3 linked regions of the Caenorhabditis elegans genome follow. The protein of the gene in region 1 interacts with the protein of each later gene in a biochemical or structural test. Each region holds a gene or a part of one and is shown in the gene's direction. Other genes may lie near its edges.

Region 1 (10,494 bases):
TGACGTGGCAGGCGTGTGTATGTGTAAGGGGATTCGGTATGGCACAAAGCTTATCAAAACAGCTGTCAATTGTCAGATAATGAATCACAATCACAGAGACACGACAATGATTCTTTCCTCTCATTTAACTTTTGACCGATAAATAAACACACACAATCAACGAGAAACGTTTTCTTCGCTTTTCTCAAAAATTCAAAAATTTATGCTACAATGCTGGAACATAGAATTGAATTATTCTAGGTACTGTTTCGATTGAAAATCATTTTATGTCAATAAAATCATTAAATAAGTTTCAGAAAATTTCAAAACAATCCACTAAATTCAGAAAAAAATATGAATGTCCACGTACACAAGCTTTGTCTGAAAAAATTTTTGAGCGAGAATTATGAATTTAAAAAATTAAAAATCCCGGCTCTACACGTTGACTACACAGGTTTTTTATCGGAAAAACAAATTTTCAACAAGATTCAGTAAATAATTTTTAAAAAATTAAACAAAATTCTAAATAATTCAAATAAATTCTGGAAAAAATTAGAATCCCGGATTGTAAAGGTGGAGTACACAAAATTGAGGTGGCCTACAAAATGAAGACAAATTGGGATTTTCTAGGCCATGGGCTTGTTAAATAAAGCTGAAAAACTTGAATTTTGGAAAAGATATAAAGAAATAAGAAATCAAGAATAACGAACTCGTGAATTTTTTTTGGAAACAAATATATATAGAAAAAGAAAAATGAGAGATAAGGAGGGGGAGCTGTTATCAATAATTGACTGATTGGAAGAAATGGGTGCCCCCAACTGAAAAAGATGTGTTCAATGAGAGCAAAAACAACGGAAAATGATCAGGAAGAGAAAGAGAATGGGAGCGCACAAAAACAAGGAGCCGGACAAAATTCGAGCCAATTTTCGGAGGGTTACTGTAGTTTTCTAGGACGGGCACATAAATATTTTGCTAAACAATTTTTTTGCTAAACACGGACAACAAAATTTCGAGTTTCACGAAGATCTAGGCCAACTTTCAACAAAATTAATAAGATAGAAAACTCGGCCATTTTTTTCCACGGCCACGTATACCATTTATTCTCAAAAAATTTGAAACCCCTGTCAAAGAAAATGCGCTCTATTGAGAAGTCCACAAATTTATGTTTCGTGGCGAGAAGAGAAAACTAGGCCACCAAAAATGTTAATATATTTAGTAATTTGGGAACTAACGGGCTAAAGTAAATTTTAAAAAAATCAGTGAAGCTTGGCCACCGATATTTTATTCAGAAAAAAAATTAAAATTTTTATTTACAAAGTGCGGCCTATTGAGAAATTCTCTAAAAAATCTGGGAAAAAATATTCAAATTTCCAGCTTATCACACTCTAACTAGGATGAATTGCTGGCCGAGTTTTTGCGTTTTCTAGGCCACGTGGCAAAAATAGAACATTATTGCACTGCACAATATTTTACTATAACCAAAAAACAAGAGAAAAAATTGTTTTAACTTTTTTTGGGAGAAGTGTACAAAGTTTAGTTTTTGTCACTTGTTCTCCTTTTCTTCCGCCGCCCATAAACATCTAATGGGGTTATTCAAGTAGTGTCGGAAAATTAAAAAGTGTAGAAAAATTACGTCACAACTGTATTTAAATACATTTTGCTACATTACTTTAATAACCCCATAAGTTTTTGCAAGTTATAGAGACAAAAAGACTGGAGGAAAACATAAAAAATAATGATTAAAGGGACAACCGGCCAGGAAAGAAAAAACATATGAAGATGGGCAATAAAATGTGTGGTGATAAGCGTTGAATAGGCTCTCCAAATAAACTAAAAACTAGGCGTTAGGGTGCTTATTTATTAGTTTGGATTTTTAAGGGGGATGCTCTTTTTGCAAGTTTGCAGGTCTTTCAAAAAATCGCAAAAACCTCACTGTTTTTAATATATTTTGTAGTATTTTGTTGTTTCTACTAATTTTCATATCGAAATTTCTAATAATCCAACTGAATACATATTTTAATACATATTTTAAAATGTTTTTTTAGGAAAAAAATAGTTGAAAACAATGGGTAAAATTTTCAAAAAGTACGAAAAATTCTTTGAAAACGGGCTAAAATTTTGCCGTCCAATTCCTAACGAGACCCAGCGTTTAGGGGTGGTGCAACCTTATTACGGGAGCATAATATTCTGAGAATGCGTATTGGGCAACATATTTGACGAGCAAAATAAATTATAACTATATCTCGTAGCGAAAACTACAGTAATTCTTTAAATGACTACTGTAGTGTCGATTTACGGGGTCAATTTTTGAAATTAATTGCATAAATCATTTGTTCATCTATAGAATATTAAAGTTAAGCAAAAAAAAAGAAAAAAGTTATACGACGAAACGAAGAAATTCATTTTAAAAATCAAGCCCGTAAATCGAGCTACAGTAGTCATCTAAAGAATTACTGTAGTTTTCGCTACGAGATATTTTGCGCGTCAAATATGTTGTGCAATACGCATTATTAGAATTTTGTGTTCTAATGTAATATATTCAGATCGAAAGAGACAAATTTATTTCAAATTCTGCAAGTACTCTTTTAAAAATTCGAAAATCATCACTGTAAAAATGTGTGGAGCGAAGTTTTTTATTTTTTGATGGGAATTACACACACACAAACCGCCACCGGCAAACATAAGTCAATCGGATTAAACAGATTTAAATTGTAAATGGTAGAATTTCAAACGAAAAAATTGCCGGAAACCTAAAAAAAAAATTCCAGAACATGGGGGGAAACTTTGGTCTCATAATCAGCAAGAAAAGTGATAAGGGATCACTTTCTTTAATGGGACGCCGCCGCCGGCCAGTGGAAAAGGTTAAAAATGCAATGTGACAAAAAAATGATGCTGATTTTTCATTTTTATGGTATGTTTATTACAGACTTTGTAACTCTGAAAAAGGGCGTTACATATAGATATTTTGATTTCTTTCTTTGCTGGAAAATAAAATTAAAAGTAAGGTCTCGGCGCGCGAATTGTATTTTTTTCTTTTGCCTTTCAATGTGGAATAGTTTTTGCTTCAAAAAATTCAAAAAAAAACGTCTGAAATTCAAAAAGAATCATTAAAAAAACGATAAAATCGATAAAATCCTTCCAAAAAAGAACTACCAATCAGCGATTCGTTACGCCCAAATCTCAACCAATCAGACGGAATGGGCGGAGTTAAAGAATGCTGATTGGGTGGAAAGTAGGCGGAGTGAATCGCTGATTGGTCTTGCAGTTCTCATTTTATCTGGAGGGAATTCTCAAATGAGAACTGCGACCAATCAGCGACTTCGAACTCCGTACACTCCATCGTTGATTGGTCGCATTTCTCCGTGTTTTTTAATTGAATTTTTCTTGTTTTTTTGTGGATTTTTTAAGCCAAAATGGATAAAAAATAAAAAGAAAAAAGAAAAACCCAAAAAAAAAGTATTTTTTTTAATTGATAAAAATATATAAAAGCTGATTTTTTCAAAAATTCAAAAGTCCTGGAAAATCATATGGAGTCATTCTTTTTTATTTCCCACTCCATCGTTGATTGGTCGCATTTCTCCGTGTTTTTTAATTGAATTTTTCTTGTTTTTTGTTGTGGATTTTTTAAGCCAAAATGGATAAAAAATAAAAAGAAAAAAGAAAAAACCCGTGGCATCATAAATTTCGCATTGTCACGTGGCATTGTTTATTTTCCGTTCGGACAAAAAATAATGAAAAAAATATTATTTCCAATTCGATCCCGATGAAAAGTTGCAGAAGTTGTAAGGAAAATCCTGAAGTGCAGAGAAAACGAGCCGAGAAGCCGTGGCGACGGGCTCCGAAGGCCAAATCAGAAGTCGAAAAGCATGGAATCGGTCCACCGGACAGTGATTCAGGGGAGGAAATATCATTTCCTTGGTATAATGTGACCGGTAAGTGAGTCATCTCGACTTTTTCGGAAATAAGCTGAGAGGCTTATATTTCTTTTTGTCGCATTTCATGAACTTTCAGCCAGTTTCAGTTATTACTCAGATGTCAAACTTTTTCGTTTTTTTGAACTCGAAAATACGATCCCGACGCGACAATTTTTGTAATATGCAAAAAGGCGTGCGCCTTTGAAGAGTACTGTAACTTCCTAACTTCCACCACGATTTTCATCGATTATTCATGGATTGTCTCCCGTTTCCGCAATTTTTAAATGTGTTTTATTTTGTTTAAAAAAAATAGCGTCTTGTGCAACATATTTGACGCACAAAATATCTCTTAAGTTAGCGAAAACTACAGTAATTCTAATTCTTTTTTTTCCATTTTCATTCGTTTCTTCGCATAATTTTCTCATTTTTATTTTTATTTTAATATTTTAGCGATAGTAAAGTAAAATTTTAATCCATCCGAGCCCGTAAATCGACTACAGTAGTCATTTATAAAGTTACTGTAGCTTTCGTTACAAGATATTTTGCGCGTCAAATATGTTGTGTGAGACGCATTATCATAATTCTGTGTTGTAGTAATAGTTTTAGTAATAGTTTTTCGTCAAAAAATGTTCTTGAAAAGTAAATGAAAACTGAAAATTCCGCTTTGCAGTTAGAGTTACTATTTAAAGGCGCATACACAATTTTGCATTCAACCAAAATTTTTCGTGTCGAGACCTGGTATCGTACGTTTCCCAAGTGTTTATGTGCAAAGGTTACCCATCATAATCCTTTTTTGCTCCGTCTTTTTGCACCACACCCAAAAAAAGCAAGAAAGAGCTCATAACCATAGAGCAATGTCTCTCTGTCTGTCTTTCTTTGTGAGCTTTTCATGTGTATGTGTCCTATTTAGAAGCACTGCATTTTCTTTCCCTCCTCCACGTCTTCCGGCTCTCTCGGTCCCCCCCCCCCCCCCCCCAACTATTCCCGATTGCGAAACACGAGCTCTTCGGGAACCGAGCCCCCACTTCCAATTCTTCGTGTCCCTCATTTTATTGCCGCATTCCGGCGAGTCTTCTTTAGTTTCAGTCGTTTGAACATTTGTTCTCGAGAAATTCGATAATTTTTATTAGGGAAAAGTAGGTTTCAAATCGAAAACTCGGCTTAAATCGTTGAATTTGAAGGAAAAATTTAATAAATAGTGTCTAAAATTATAGAAAATTATGCAAAGCTTTGACAAAGCTTTGCAAAGGCGAGAAATCAAAAATTGAATTTTTCTAGACTTGTCTAATTGCCTCTGATATGTTTTGACCTACAATTGACCTACGATCTCAGGCGGGCGCGCACGAATTCATATTTTTGTTTCGCGAAGTTTCTCTCATTTTGTTTTTCCTTCGCTATCATTTTAGGTGGTTTTCGGGTTGACTCAGCCGGTTTTTGGCCAGTTTTTTTTGTTTTAAGTTAATTTTTCTTATTTTGTCACAATTTCTTTTTGATTAATGGCAAATAATTATTATAATCTGAACATTTTGCTTTGAAACTCGAAAAAATCTAGAAAAAGAATAATTGTATCGTAGTCGTTTTCTGATTTTTACATGGAATTCAAGTCAATATTCATGTTTTTTAATGAAAAAACATGAATTTTCTCCAAGAAACGATTATTCATTTAAAGGAACATACGTGCCTGCTGAGCTCGTGTCTCGTAGCGAAATTTGTATCGTAGTCGTTTCCGCATTTTTTAGTTTTTAGACCTTTTCAAGAAATTTTCTCTGTTTTTCGCTTCAGAAAAGATCCATTTTCGCGAACATTTCTACCATTTTTTTTACAAAATTATCCTGTTACATCGATTTTGATCGATATCATCAAAATACACTAGTTTTCTCCTCCAAAACCGTCTGTTTTACATTTCTGGAGCCCACGTTTCTGACCGTTTCGCTCCGTAATCCGTTGGAAGAAGCACTCCTTTGTGTGTCCAGACCCACCCGTCCATGCTGTGTCCATCGAGCGGTCGCCTGTCTGCGTTTCTTCACTCCCCTCGCCTATTTCATCCGTTTTCCTCCCTCTACTCCCCCTTCGAACGCAATTTTCGCGCCAATTTCCCAGCAGCAGCAGCGGCAGTACTCGCCATTTCATAACATCTCCCCCGCCACTGACTAATGTTTTCCGATAGTTTATCATTTTCTTTCATGGGATATGAACAATTGTTTCCTTTATTCTTACGCTCTAATTAACTCGAATCCAATTAATTTGTTATTATTTTCAGGTAAAATGCTTGTCGTCGGGATGCATGTGGAAATCAAGCGGAGCGACGGCCGCATCCACGGTGCCGTAATCGCCGAAGTTAAGTCGAACGGCCGGTTTATGGTGGAATGGTATGAGAAGGTGAGTCGCATCCTTCGAGAAGACCATCACTCGTCACAGAATCATGCATTTCGGATGTGATGCCGAACCAAAAATCATGCATTTGGCATTGTGTACTTTCTTTCTTCTCTTTTTTCTCTTGCAATCTTTCACATTTTCAGGGCGAGACAAAAGGAAAGGAATCCTCGTTGGAAGAACTTCTCACGCTGAACCCATCACTCCAAGCACCGAAGCCTACGCCGCCGCCACAGCCTCCTCAAAAAACGCTTCAAGCGTCAACTGCTGTCAACAGACAAAACGGGATCCATGCGCAGAGCATGATACTCGATGACGAGGATACATTCCTCTTGGATCATATCAACATGATTCCGGCTAAAGGTTTGTTGGAGAGTTCTGGTTTAATATGAAACAAAAATTGATTTTCAGGTGCTTCTGCCAACAAACGACCAACGGGAGCTTTCACGCAGCACGTTCCTGTTCGTATGGCTCCTCCATCCGAAAAGCCTCTCCCGACTCGTCGTGCTCCGTCACCGAAGGAGGATGCTGCTCCTGCACCGAAGTCTACTCGTACGACAGCAGCCTTCAAGCCAGATCTTGATAGTACGGCGATCACGGTTCCGAAGCACACTGCAAGGCGCACAGTTGTGGTAGCTCCAGCTCCGGCCCCTGTTCCTGCTCCACCAATCGCCAACATGACATCACAGCGAGCCCCGTCTCCAGTGGCAAGAGTTCCGTCGCCGAAGAACGTACCGCGGTCGTATCCACAACAGGATGTTCAGCCGTCGAATGGGAACTTTGCTTTCGCGGAGATGATTCGCAACTACAGAGCCCAGATCGACTATCGTCCGTTGAGCATGTTCGACGGTGTCAACGAGAATCGGATTTCCGTTTGCGTTCGGAAGCGCCCACTGAACAAGAAGGAGCTGACGAAAGCGGAGGTCGATGTGATCACGATCCCTTCTCGTGACATCACAATTCTCCATCAACCACAAACACGTGTCGACTTGACAAAGTATCTGGACAATCAGAAGTTCCGATTCGATTACTCTTTCGACGAGTACGCCAACAACGAGCTGGTCTATCGGTTGGTTTTTTTAATTTTTCAGTTTTCGTTTTTAAAAATGATATTTTCAGCTTCACTGCAGCACCACTCGTGAAAACCGTCTTCGACAATGGAACTGCGACGTGCTTTGCCTACGGTCAAACAGGATCCGGAAAGACGCACACAATGGGTGGAGATTTCTCCGGAAAGAAGCAGAATGCGTCGATGGGAATCTACGCGTTGACGGCACGAGATGTGTTCCGGATGCTCGAGCAGCCACAGTACCGTCGCAAGGATCTCTCGGTGCACTGTGCGTTCTTCGAGATTTACGGAACGAAGACGTACGACTTGCTCAACGATAAGGCCGAGCTTCGTGTGCTTGAGGATAAGATGCAGAAGGTGCAGGTTGTTGGGCTCAAAGAGGAGCAAGCGCACAATGAGCAGGATGTCTTGGAGCTCATCAACAAAGGAACTCTGGTCAGAACCGCTGGAACCACTTCGGCAAACGCGAACTCGTCGCGTTCTCACGCCATATTCCAGATCATTCTTAGACAGTTAGTTTTTGTTTTTACGTGAAGATTGCTTTAAAATTAATTATTTTCAGAGGCAAAAAGGTGTGGGGCAAGTTCTCGTTGATCGACTTGGCTGGAAACGAGCGAGGACAAGACACGAGAGAATGCGATCGTGACACGCGGAAAGAGGGCGCCAACATCAACACATCGCTGCTCGCACTGAAGGAGTGCATCCGTGGAATGGCTCGCAACAGCTCACATGTCCCGTTCAGACAGTCGAAGCTCACGATGGTTCTCCGAGACAGCTTCATCGGTGAGAAGTCCAGGACAGTGATGATCTCGATGATTTCGCCAGGGATCTCGTCGAGTGATCACACGCTCAACACACTTCGCTACGCGGATCGGTAGGAATTTTATTTATTTTTTGCTAAAAAAAATTCACATTTTTCAGTGTCAAAGAAATGGGAACCGACGGAAGCGGCGAAGCAACCCCAATTCGAGACGAGGAATTGTTCCTGCCCCCATCGGCAGACAAATCGGATGAAGAGTACGATGAGATGGTCGAGAAGCAAGAACATCGTCGAGTAGCGGTCGATCACGTCCGGAACCTGAAAGATATGTCTGAAAAGATCATACGCGAAACGACGATTGTCCTCTCCAACGAGCCGAGTGCTGCCCAGAAAGCCGAATGCCTCGCCAAGCTTGATCAACTTGCGCAGATAGTCTCGAACACCCGTGTCGCCGTGGAAAACGTCTGATTGCTGATTCCCGCGACGATATGCTACCCACTTCATGTACCATGATTATTACTCCCCGCCCCCCTCATTATTCACCATTTTCTATTTATTTTTATCGCATTCCTCCAATATTTTACCGTATTTATTTCATTTAGGGTATGTGAAAATTATTTGACCCTCCCCTTCCATCTTTTTCCCCTCTCGTTGTGAATATTTTACGGGTCCCCATTTTTTCTCGGTTCCGTTTTAAATGAACCATTTTATTCGTTTAATCAGTGTTCAATTTGAAGGTGGCTGTTCCGGAATTCATGCACAATTAAGTCGTTCTCTTGAGGCCCCACGAAAAGGGGAGCAGAACGAAAAGGGGATCTGCAAAAAGGAGATCTGCGAAAAGGGGAGATACGAAAAGGGGAGATACGAAAAAGGGGAGATACGAAAAGGAGATCTGGCACTGTGCCAAACGCTATTTTTCTCGAAGAAAACAATACAACGATGCTCCGATGTTACGCGTCGCGTGTTGTTAAGCGTATCTTCTAGAAGAAAATTTCAAAAATCAACGTGCGTTGCGTGAGAAAAATTGCGTTTTGTGCGTTTGGCACAGTGCCAGCTCCCCTTTTCGTATCTCCCCTTTTCATATCTCCCCTTTTCGCAGATCCCCTTTTTGCAGATCCCCTTTTTGCAGATCCCCTTTTCGTTCTGCTCCCCGTTTCGTGGGGCCTCGTTCTCTTCAAAAAATCGTTGTGATACCCAGCATGCTCCTTTAAACTTGCGTGGGATCCTGGTTTGTTCTGAGTTGATGTTAGGCTGTAATTGCTCGTTCTATAATAACGAGACGTGGTAGTCGGTCTCGACACGACACATTTTAATTAAATGCAAACGTGTGCGCGCCTTTAAAGATTACTGTAATTCAAAATGTTCGTTACTGTAGAATTGTCATCGATTTTTCATGTGTTTTTCACAATTTGTTAAAAATTCTGTGTTTTTAATAGTTTTATTTAACTTTTTTCAATAAATAAATATATTTTTGTCGAAAAACGATGAAAAATCAATGAAAATCCCGCACCAACAAAATTTTGGAACTACAGTACTCTACTCTTTAAAGGCGCACACCGTATCGCATTTAACAAAAACATTCTAATTGTATTTTATATTTTTCATAAAAAGAAAAGCTATAATAGTTTTGAAACTTTTTTATTTCCATCGATGGCGCACACGACACTGGAGGACAAACCAAAAATTACAATTAATATCGATTTTTAATGAGAAATGGGAGAGACAACGTACACGAATTTAGCAGAAGTTTTCTTTTTTTTTAATAGAAGAAACCTAAAGGAAATGTAATAATATTTCTAACAAATTTGTCTGATCACCGTCAACAAGAGGATATAGAAGAAAAAACAAAGAATGATGAGTTGAGCAAAGAAAAAAGATCCTAAAGATCTCTAAAAGAGATCCTTTCGATTTCGGGTCTCGAAACGAAAACGATCGCACTACAAAAGAAAAAAAATTGGAAAACTTAGAAAATATGAAAGAGTCTGAAAAATGAGATGGGCGGCGGCTGGGCTCACTCTGATTGAGGGAGCACTGTCATTTTTAGTCGCGTTTATCCTTGATTGGAGCTTCAACTGAAAATCACCAAAATTATTTCTTTTTCCAGGGAAATTTAGTTTCAAATCCTGCATTGCCATGGACGAGATCGACAGTCGACAAAATTGCACACCATTCGGTAAAGAAAAGAGGCACTCCCTGAACAGACACATTGGTTAGGTTAGAGAAAAAACAGAAGGAAGTAAGGTTTTTTAAAGGATCACTTTTATTTGTGAGCTCCTAATAGATTCACACGCAACAAAAATTAATTTAAAAAAAGGATAATAATAAATTATTATGAAAAAAGGGGAGAACAATGGGGATGTGGAGAGCGAGAGACGTAGAACTTTCAGTGGACAAGAAGG
Region 2 (5,893 bases), on another chromosome or scaffold:
TTCTGGTTCAAGAAGAAGATTCAAATCTCCTGTTTTTACAGCAATTGAAATAAGCCCGTGATAAAGTGAAAGGCATTGCCGAACTTCTGGGACTGGAAGGAGATCATAGTGTGGTGATGTCATCTTTCTCATAAGTCCGTCCACGTGATGATTTATACCGGCAATACATACTTGACGAACTGTTTTGACGAGATCTGCGAGCATTATTGTAAAATAACTATCTTTTCGAATCAAAGTCTCGAACTTGTTTGCATAGAAAATTAAAATATTTCCCATTTTGAAAATTGTGATGGCATTTTTTTCTGTCGACAGCAGTTGCTCTACCCTAATCTGTAAACTATTATCATATATTATAGTCCAATAATTTAAACTTTTTACCTTGAACGGCGAAGTCAAAGATTTCAGGCATTCATCAAGAACGATCGGAAGATTTTCTGCGGAACAAATTGAGCTGAACAACTGTTTTTCTTGCTCCGTGAGCTCGTGAATCGAAGTCAGCATATCTCCAACTGCCTTCAGTGGTTCTGCCAACCCTTCAGGCATTTGGACAGCCATTTTGTTAATTTCAACAAACTGATTGAGCAATTCTTGTGAGCGAGATGAAATGTATTGGTCTGAAAACTAGGTTAATGGTGAGTAGATTTGAAGAACTAAACGTACCAATGGCAAGCTGGAATACAGCATCATTCTGACTTATGATTTTGAAAGCTTTAGAAAGAATTTGCTTTTTCTGATGAGAATCAACTGTCAGATTTTGAAATTCGCGTTTCAGATTGTTACAGATAATTGCATGGCTTCTTTCGTCAATTTTTTGCATTTTTTCCATCACTTCAAAAGCGGCAAGATGTCCTTGCTCCTGAACCATATTTCTGCAGTTCTCGCGAATTTCGTGGCACCTCTCAAGAACTTTGAAGAAAAATTCCGATAGATGACCACTTTGTTCACATTCGTCTAATTCTCGAAGCTCTTCACTTGATAAAGAATAGTTTTCGAGAAATTCATTTATCATATTACAACGGCTTTCTATACTCGCTTTCTTCTCCTTCAAGCTTGCTGTTTTCTGCACCAAATCAACACTTTTGAACTTTACAGTCTCCATTTGCTTTGATAAATTCGTGCATGTGGAGTTCATTTTTACACAGAGCTCATCGAATTTTTGCACAATGTTATTTATCTGAAATAGCAGATTTAAAATGAAATGATTTCAGGTTTATTCTAACTTTTTCGAACTCGCTCAAATATTCCTTGTTTAGTCTCAACTCGTATCGTTCTAGTTTATTGTGTAGTTTCCTATCAACATTTGAATCAAGGTTCATATCTTCGACCAGTGGAGTGATGAAATCAGCAATTTTGATGCAATCCTGTAAGAAATGCCATAAGTTTCGTTTGTAATTAATATTTTAGCTGACCTTGTCATTATACAGCTTCTTTGCACATGCAGTAGTCACTTTTTCTCGTAAAGGATTGACTGCTGATGAAGTTTTATCGATTACTGACATTTTATTGATTCAAATTCACCGAATTCTGCGAAAAAAATCGCAGAACTCAGTGGAATAGAAAATGCAGAATTGATTTATTCGCAACGTGTCAGCAACGACACTCCGAAATAACAGAGCGCGTGTTGTTTAGCAATGCCGCTCAACAACCCGCCAAGCAAAATTCATTCAAAGTGACTGCCTTTGTTCTAATTTTTGACGTGTTCTTGAATTAGTCGCGATTTTCTTTTTCCTTTCTCATTAAATTTTTTATTCCTCAATTTTATTATAATATTTCAACTCGCAGAATTACATTAATCATGAGCGGAAAGGAAAATACTGCTCCTGTGATAGACGATCAGAAGGCCGAGGTAATTGTTATTAAAATTAGAAAGGCATCAATTCTAATCTTCAGGTTATTTCACTTACGGAAGATAGCAGACCTCAGAGAGTTGACCAGGCAAGGGAAGAATCATGGTGAGAATAATTGATTTATTACTTTTACAATGTAATGGACTTTAGCTGGAGTCTTGATGATTTTGACGTTGGACGGCCTCTCGGAAAAGGAAAGTTTGGAAACGTTTTCATCTCTCGTGAAAAAAAGACCAAGCGAATCATAGCTTTGAAAGTACTCTTCAAAACACAGTTGCTTCAACTTGGAGTCAGTCATCAGTTGAAGAGAGAGATCGAAATTCAATATCATTTGCGGTATGTTTTCTCGAAGTCATCTCATCCAAATCAATTAATCAATATTATTTCAGTCATCCGAATATTCTCACTCTTTATGGATACTTTCACGATGACAAGCGTGTGTTCGTCATTCTCGACTATGCCAGCAGAGGAGAATTATTTAATGTCCTCCAATCACAACCTGGACACAAAGTGAATGAGGTCATTGCCGGAAGGTGTGATTTTGTAGATATTTCAGAAATATAGTAAATTTCCTCAGATTTGTGCGACAGCTGGCCAATGCGTTGCATTACTGCCATTCGAAAGGAGTTATTCACAGAGACATTAAGCCTGAAAATCTTCTTCTTGATTCGAAGCTCAATCTGAAGGTACGCGTATAAATATGGTTAACTAAGTACTCAAAAAGTCTTCTGCAATGTTCTCAGTGCATCCTTTGGTTCTCCGAGCCGAAAGAAGTCACTAGCTGAAAAAGAGTTTATACTCTGATCACACAGTAACATTGCAATAAAAGCTTAGCTCGAGATGCGTGTGCCGTTCTGCTTTTAATGCGATCTGGTTCCTTTTCTCCTCGGGACAATTACCGTAAAAATTAAATTCAACACATTTTATGCATTCTTTCTAAAAAATAAGACTTGTATTTCAGCTTGCCGATTTCGGATGGTCCGTCGTTGCTGATCACTCGAAACGCCATACATTGTGCGGTACCATGGATTATCTTGCTCCGGAAATGGTTTCCAATCAGCCACATGACTTTAATGTTGACATTTGGGCAATTGGAATTCTTCTCTTCGAAATGCTTGTTGGATATGCTCCGTTCGCCAATCAAACTGGTGATAAATTGATCGCCAGAATCAAGGAGTGCAAGATTTATGTTAGTAATTATGAACTAAATTTGTTAGAATCTTAATAAGCAGTTCTCCAACAGAAATATGTGCATGAAGTGATGGTTTGGGTAACCATTTCATCTTTTCATGTCATATATCTCCTGCCTCTCACGGTTTCATCTGTGAGAAGCTTCAAAGAACTGCAATAGAAGTCTAGCTCGAGATGCGTGTGCCGGTTTGCTTTTAATGCAATATGGTTCCTTTTCTCCTCGGGACAGTTCTCAAACATTCATTTCCATTTTGTTTCCCAAGTAGTTTCATCTAAATTGCTTCTTTTTTGCAGATTCCAAGTGTTGTGACTGACGGAGCTGCCAGTTTGATAAATGCAATAATCAAAAAGGAACCCCAAGAACGTCTCCCACTTGTTGACATCATGGCTCATCCGTGGATTAAGGAAATGAAGCAACGCGAAGACATTGAAGTTCCACTCTTCATTTCGACGCTCACGAAATCCAGTCGCAATAATTCTACAGCCAATCAATAAAAGCTCTGTCTATTGTCCATTAAAGTCTCAACCTTTTCTACTTGTCTTTCCAAACAATTATCATCTGCACTTTCCCTTCTTTAGAACCGTATATCATACGGCTACTAACTTCTTATTTTCGCTAATCCATTTAAGCAATTTATCCGTTTTCATCCTTTTGTTTCTTCTCACACTGACAACGAGAAGGATTTAAATTTATCTAAATCAATTATTCTTTATTTGTGTGTGTGTAAAATCATTAGATTCCCGTGAAAGTACTGTATCGTGTGTTCCCGTCTGCCCCATTAATTTTTTCCCAAATTTCGCATCCAAGTGTCTCGATTATCACATAAACGATGGTGCACCTCTTTGTTCATTGGTTCTCAGAAGAAATACAATGCTTTCTGCTAAAAGCCAAAACTCAAACAGTGGTGGCGGTAAGTAGAAGGCTGCCGCCTTTTTTGGCACTGTTTTGTTCCGCCAAAAAAGTAGCATGGTATGCAAACATTATAACGAGTTAACACTACATTGGTAGGAGTGGGAACGTTTTTTGGAACAGCTAAAGTTTGAAACATAAAGCGGAGGTTTAACAACGTTAAGTGGTATCTGGCAGAGAGCCTTAAATATCGTACATTCGCAAAAACTTTATCCTAGCTAGGTGCTATGTGCTACATGAAAAATTCTAGTTTTTTCTGTACATTTCAGAATTTCAAAATTCGTATAGTACATTTTCCATATCAAATGAAAAAATCTGTAAATTTTGGAACCTCACTATGACTGAGTTCGTGCCGAGACCCACTCAGGAAAACATCGTGTGCCTTTTAACTGATATCTCAGCATTTCGTGAAAATACAATATAAACATTTCTTTCTAATGTTTAATAATAACTGTAATCCTTGAAATGAACTGATCAATTAGATACTAGAATAATGCACAAAAATGTTTAATATTTGCGCGAATAACTGGTCGTTACCATCTGGTTGTTACATATCCGGTGATTACTAACCATTTATTTGATGGAGATTTGGATATATGTAGTCAATTTAGGTGAGTACAAACAAGATGACCCGTAGATATGCACTAGAGGTGTTTGTCAAGTGGTTGATTGGATATGACGATATTACGTTGCTCAATTTTTTGAATTTTTATATTTATCTGTTTTCATAAACAATTTAGCAGCTAGAAAAAAACAGTGACATTTCTCAGGTGTCCGTGTGTTCCATGCCTTCGAAATCGAAGAAAATCACGCAGTCGTTGGTGGAAAAGCAATGCCGTCACATGTGGACTGAGATGTACTAAAAAACCTAAGAATAAATACCGTATCAACACCTGGATTTGACAAGTTTATGTCAAAACAGTTTATTCTTCAGAAATTAACACCACAGGAGTCTATAGGCTTCGAAAAGATTTGTGACGTCAGATATTTAAACCACGAGCTTCCACGACTTCAGATGTTAAAACACACCCGTGTAACTTCATCCTTAAATGGAATCATGGGTAAAACATTGTCAAGTTCAACTGCCTACAGTAACCAACAATCATATTCCCACCGGCTGGTTCCTATTTGGCAAAGTCCCATCGTTTCCCCCTAATAATCTCAACAAATACCTATGCAGCTACTGTTTGCCCCCCCCCCCTTGCCTTATAATAGGCGGAGCCTTGAGAGCTTTGAGATTAAAGAAGCTCTGCACGGACCAGTTACTTTACGGACCACGTACCGCATTGGTACAGTCACACTCGCTCGAGCATGAACTGCGACACCGCTCAACCGTGGATGATGTCTTCTTATCATCCATCAACAACATCTGATGTCTTCTGGACAACAACACCATCGTCTACTTCAACGACTCCAAGCTCTGATAATGGAATTCAACAATATTCGTCGATATCTACGTCATCGGGTTACGGTAAGTACAATTGTCTGTAATTCGGCTTTTCATTTAAGAATTACATGGGTTTTACATGGATTTTTTTAGTAACTTATTCCACTGGCAGTGAAAACCTTTATAGATTCTTAATAATTAGTTACTATATCTTTAAAGAAATTGTCTGAAATCCTTACAGTATGAGATGAAAGTTAAGACAATTCTTTCTAGCAATGAAATCAAGCTAATAGAAACTATCAGTATTATTTTTAACGCAACTTTTTATCAGCCCCTGCCAACTCTCCTGCCAAAACTGCCGAAGTTAATCAACTTGGTGGAGTTTTCGTAAATGGAAGACCACTTCCATTTGAGATGCGTTGTAAAATAGTTGAGCTCTCGAGACAAGGAACACGACCGTGTGACATCTCTCGTCAACTAAAAATCAGTCATGGATGCGTTTCGAAAATATTGACTCGGTTCTCAGAAAATGGAACAATAATGCCTGGAACAATTGGA
Region 3 (5,315 bases), on another chromosome or scaffold:
GTTCAGTTAATGAGAATCCATTTGCAGCATCAACCATTTGAATAACTTTCATCATTGATTCCTTATTTTCAACGGCAAGTGGTACAAATGAAACGAGGTCGAAATCGCTAATAACTCCACAAATTGCTTCATTCAATTTTCGATATTTTTCCAATCCGGGAACTTCATTCAAAAGATCCAAAAGTCGATTGACATCAGGTAAATGGGAGAAAAACTCGAGATCATAGGTCCCGTCTTCAGAGAAAAGATCTGCTTTTGACAGACAGTTTACTTGTGGCATCTCCATTGTTACCATTGTCGCTGAAATTGAAGCTTTTTAATGAATATAATTTTAATTTGTTCCTTTCAGCCACACAAAATTTAAAGTGGTTCCGAATTTCAATTTTTTCCATCTAAAATCAAATAAATAACAAAAATAGGTTTCAGATTAAATGAAAGTTTTATGTGCCAGAAAGATATTGCATTTCTTAGCCAGAAATACATAAAGGCCCATGGAGTTTCAAAATTGTACAGAACAAAAATAAATTTTCATTTTTTGGAGGAAATCAGCTGAATTATATTTGGAAATTTCGGGTCGAGAGACAAGAAAAGTATTTCAATTTTTTTTTAATCTTAATGAACTCTTACCTAATGTGGATAATGCAACAGAAATGAATTTCGATGGGTCACTGCAGTAAAGTGAATCGGCAAGATGTAAGGCACATAGTCTAACACCGGATTTTTCCAAAAAGCGGATAACTTTCCATAGTTCGCCTTCGCTTTTGTATAGTTCCAACTGTCCGGGACAATCAATTATCAGATATTTCTTGTGATTCGCTTCGATTTTCTGAAAAAAGATTTAATTGAATATTAAAACTACAAAGAGGTTAAAAATGATTTCCGATTTTCTCGATTCAAATTTAGAGAATTCCAGATTTTAGCTCAATTGTTGTGAAAACAATTTTTAGCTTTTGAGAATTAACTTTTTCTGCCAAAAAAATTACCTGGAGGAGCCAATTACAATTAGCTCCAAGTGTTTCAATACAGTATTTGAGAGCTCCATTTGGTCCAAGTCCAAGTCGATCCATTACATCATTCACAGTGATCATTTCCTAAACTTTAGTATTTTAAATGAAAAATATGACCTTAAGTATTAAAATAACATTGATAGATGATCTGTACCACGTTTCATAATTATTGTCCTATATTCATTGGAATAAAATACTTACAGTGATATTTACATCAGGTGCGTATGCCATTGTGTCATTAGCAGGATCAAGATTGATAGTGAGAAATGGTCGTTTGGTTTGTGAGAAAATGTCCGTTAATCCTGCACAAAATGTAGATTTTCCAGCTCCAGGAGCTCCAATTACAAGAACTCCGTACATAGTCCAATGAGTACTGAAATTTTCTAGTTGAATCTTAATTTTCTACGGATTGTTTTGATAGGAAAACATTTAAGAAGAACAAAAATATATAAATACAATTTAATTTAATTTAAAACAAACAAAAAAGCAGGATAAACGGGCCTGGCACAGGGCCAAGTACGCATTTACACCGTACATGACGACATATTGCGGACCATTGCATTTTGCCGCGTTAATTTTTTATTTAAACGGCTTGCATTTCTCCTTACTATCCAGCTGACAATTTTTAGTTTCTTTAGAATTATTTGCAATCAAAACTCGTTTTTTGTAAACATATTTACTCAGGTAATGTGTTGATTTCTCACTTTTTTTTGAAATCAAAGCAGAATTAGTCCTATTTTTATTCTACATAAATATCTAAATGTATTCAATTAAAAATTGGGCCATTGAACTTCTAATTAATTCAATTTATAAATTTATCGTGATGTTTTCTTTTAGTTAATTTGTCCTTAATCGTGCCGTCTATTTTATTTCTTCATAAAAAACTTTTCAGTTCCGACATGGAGAATAAGCCACCTGTAATCAACCTTCCAGAGAAGGAAACTGTGAATACTCCACAGAAGGGAGGGTAAGAAATCAAGGTTTTAAAAGTTTATAAATTATTCTTGATTTTACAGAAAATTTACTATTAACGATTTCGAGATCGGAAGACCACTGGGAAAAGGAAAATTCGGCAGTGTTTACCTGGCTCGCACAAAAACTGGACATTTCCATGTAGCGATCAAGGTAACATATTGATTTATTTTGTATTTATTTGAATTATCATTTTTCTGACATCCGTTTTACCCATACATATTTTCAGGTTCTATTCAAATCGCAACTCATCTCAGGAGGCGTCGAGCATCAATTGGAGCGTGAAATTGAGATTCAATCTCATTTGAATCACCCGAATATTATCAAGCTCTACACATATTTTTGGGATGCGAAGAAGATCTATCTCGTTTTGGAATATGCCCCCGGAGGCGAAATGTACAAGCAATTGACAGTGAGCAAGAGATTCTCAGAGCCAACAGCTGCAAAATATATGTATGAGATCGCAGATGCTTTGTCATATTGCCACAGGAAAAATGTGATTCATCGCGACATTAAACCGGAGAATTTGCTTATCGGATCACAAGGAGAATTGAAAATTGGAGATTTTGGATGGAGTGTTCATGCTCCTTCGAATAAGTGAGTTTATCCTCAAATTTAGGAAATCTAGATGTTTCCAAAAATTCACTGTCATGTTTTCAGGCGCCAAACAATGTGCGGAACAATGGACTATCTCCCTCCTGAAATGGTGAATGGAGCCGATCACAGTGACGCAGTTGACTTATGGGCAATCGGCGTTCTCTGCTATGAGTTTCTCGTTGGAAAACCCCCATTCGAGCACGAAGATCAGTCCAAGACATATGCGGCAATCAAAGCGGCACGGTTTACTTACCCTGATTCTGTGAAGAAGGGTGCACGAGATTTGATTGGAAGATTGCTTGTCGTTGATCCCAAGGCTCGCTGTACGCTTGAACAGGTTTGTTATTGATTTCAGCTTAGTGGCCAACATATTATCAGCACACAGAAGTACACTTTTGTAGTGTTCTTAATTATCATAATTCATTAAATTATTACAGGTGAAGGAACACTACTGGATCCAGGGAATGATGGAGGCAAAAATTAGAGCTGAGAAGCAGCAAAAGATTGAAAAAGAAGCAAGTCTTCGGAATCACTGATCAACTACTGATTTTCCCGTCCTTCTTTCAATCATCTCGTCTGTCTGTCAAATAAAGGATCTCATCACATTTACTAGAAATTTTAAAAAGTGAAATAACTTGTCAACCAATTTTTCATGTAGTTTTTGTTTCGCGAACTCTATTATTCCCAATCGTCTAACCCCATTCATTCAACATAAATTTATTTTCTTTTCTCGTTCTCCATCTTTCTCAATATATCTACAACAACTCAATTAGTACCTCCCGAGATTTTCTCCTTTTTCAGATGTCGCGTAGACTCGCACTCGGAGCAGCTGCTTCTTTTCGTTGAGGTTCATTTGCATTTTTAGATTTTTGAGAAAAAAAAAAAAATAAAATTTAAAAGCGACAAGAAAATTTCGATTTTCTTTAGGATTATTTTATCACACCGTGCGACTTTATAGTCCCAAAAGGAAAAATAACAACTAAGCTTAGTACTGAGTACACTTGAAATTTCAAAACATGAGGTTTTTGAAATTCACGTGCTCCAACAATTTCAAGCACTTCTTGTGCCCTTTTTAAGTCCTCGAAAACTTATAATTTTTTCAGTAAGTGGTGCGGGGACATTTTCAAAAAGTTGTTTTTCTCAAACAAAGCATATTTCACAAGATGTCATTCTGGACAACAAAAAATTAAATTAAATTTTTAAATTACAGGGAACTTTTACCGATTAAGCGCGGGCGGTGTAATTATAGGTTTCGATGATGTGGTACTTTGGCTATAATTTAGTTATACAACTAGAATTTTCTAATTTTTTTATTTTCTTTCGAGATTTCTGAGAACACATTTTTATTTGAGAACTCATGCTAATTGCTGAACCGTTTTCTCCGATTTCTTCAAAAATCTCACATTTTTTGTCTGATTAAGAAAATTAAAGTTTCATTTTTCACTTGTGAATAACGCATCTTTTGAAATCAGAATGCAATCGCGCTCCAACGCCAAATAGAAAGACTCCGCCCCGATAATTTGGGTCTCGTTAGGTATTTGCGGAAAATACGTAAATGTATTATTTTTCCAAAATTTTCATTCAGTTTCGTTGATTTCACTCGTTTTCAATCATTTTTTCGTGAAATTTTGTTGTTCATTTTATTATAGCAAAATATAGCCAAAAATAGCCAAAAATTCGAAAATTCTATTAAACTAGGGTAATCGACGAAAATAGCCAAAAGTATGACTGGCGGAGCACTCTGATTCCAATGTTTGTGAACCTTATGATTTTTCAATTAATGAACCTGAAATTTCGACGTACTTAGCTAACTGAATAATCAATTAAAAATAGTCCAAGTAGTGACGTCTCACTTTTTTTCGAATGCGGATATTGAAAAATCAGCTGCTGCCGAATCGACAATCATCGATCTCCTAACACTCTTCTTACCTGAAACTTCTTGAGTCACGGTTATTTTCAACAAAAAATGATTTTTTTATGTGTTGGTTTCTGCGTTTATTCGTATTTGGAACTATGTAGAAGTCAAGTACGAACATGCAAAAACACGATACATAACCAAGATATGGGCGGAGTCTAATACATGCATCACACAATTGTTAGAAAAACAATTTTGATAATAAGTATTTTCTTAAAATATGCTCCTCCCATATCTTGCCTTTTTTTTTGGTGTTTCATTTTCTGAATTTTTTTGTACTTTTCTTTTTTCTCATTATACAAGATGTACGAAATAATAACTATCTTCGAGTAAATGATTATTTGAACTTTTAATTTTTATTCCTCTCTTCGTCTTCTTCTTCTTTTCTTCCTTCCGCTCCAAAGAATACTCACACCACATATCAGCATATTTTGTCGTTTTCCTTGTCTAGTTAAGACATTCATCTCGCTTTCATATTTCTCCGCTTCTTTTCATTTAACAGGTGCAATATTTTTTTTTTTCTATTAACAATAAGATTTTTTTTTCAATTTTTATTATTTCAACAAATAGGCATGTACCAACTTTGGCTGAATTGAAACTTTTAAAAGTTATTTTTCATTAAAAACTTTTTTTTAAAAAATCAATTTTTTACTTTGTTTGCCTATTCTGAACTGCCGAGAATTTTTTTATTTCCGAATAATAATTGGATTACGGTTACAAAACAGAGTTTTTATGACACGCCCGCGAAAAAAATCGAAGGTGAGTTTTCTTTCCTTGGTGTTTTTTTTTACTTTTTATATTTGCTTATTTCAAAGTCTGTAGAA

The links. The genes of interacting proteins can lie anywhere in the genome.
Region 2: of the proteins of klp-7 (region 1) and air-1, one has a biochemical effect on the other in vitro, tested with the Caenorhabditis elegans proteins (one study listed by BioGRID).
Region 3: of the proteins of klp-7 (region 1) and air-2, one has a biochemical effect on the other in vitro, tested with the Caenorhabditis elegans proteins (one study listed by BioGRID).

The regions. Positions count from the first base shown.
Region 1 is NC_003281.10:10,802,188-10,812,681, forward strand, and holds klp-7 (Kinesin-like protein), read left to right. Parts: upstream 1-3,737; 5' UTR 3,738-3,742; coding exon 3,743-3,911; intron 3,912-5,294; exon of another isoform or gene 5,295-5,315; intron 5,316-5,850; exon of another isoform or gene 5,851-5,995; intron 5,996-6,153; coding exon 6,154-6,272; intron 6,273-6,412; coding exon 6,413-6,629; intron 6,630-6,677; coding exon 6,678-7,335; intron 7,336-7,385; coding exon 7,386-7,847; intron 7,848-7,897; coding exon 7,898-8,209; intron 8,210-8,256; coding exon 8,257-8,563; 3' UTR 8,564-8,812; downstream 8,813-10,494.
Region 2 is NC_003283.11:8,219,706-8,225,598, forward strand, and holds air-1 (Aurora kinase), read left to right. Parts: upstream 1-1,782; 5' UTR 1,783-1,795; coding exon 1,796-1,846; intron 1,847-1,890; coding exon 1,891-1,952; intron 1,953-1,997; coding exon 1,998-2,183; intron 2,184-2,236; coding exon 2,237-2,380; intron 2,381-2,424; coding exon 2,425-2,533; intron 2,534-2,575; exon of another isoform or gene 2,576-2,744; intron 2,745-2,808; coding exon 2,809-3,036; intron 3,037-3,073; exon of another isoform or gene 3,074-3,268; intron 3,269-3,332; coding exon 3,333-3,533; 3' UTR 3,534-3,877; downstream 3,878-5,893. Other genes in the region: cogc-6 (Conserved oligomeric Golgi complex subunit 6), read right to left, coding at 1-330, 379-614, 661-1,174, 1,221-1,361, 1,410-1,499; pax-1 (Paired box protein 1 homolog), read left to right, coding at 5,260-5,419, 5,667-5,893.
Region 3 is NC_003279.8:5,935,578-5,940,892, forward strand, and holds air-2 (Aurora/IPL1-related protein kinase 2), read left to right. Parts: upstream 1-1,899; 5' UTR 1,900-1,906; coding exon 1,907-1,974; intron 1,975-2,023; coding exon 2,024-2,132; intron 2,133-2,208; coding exon 2,209-2,576; intron 2,577-2,639; coding exon 2,640-2,913; intron 2,914-3,013; coding exon 3,014-3,112; 3' UTR 3,113-3,299; downstream 3,300-5,315. Other genes in the region: B0207.6 (GPN-loop GTPase 2), read right to left, coding at 1-300, 628-826, 984-1,091, 1,209-1,367. UniProt on the Caenorhabditis elegans protein: Serine/threonine-protein kinase component of the chromosomal passenger complex (CPC), a complex that acts as a key regulator of chromosome segregation and cytokinesis.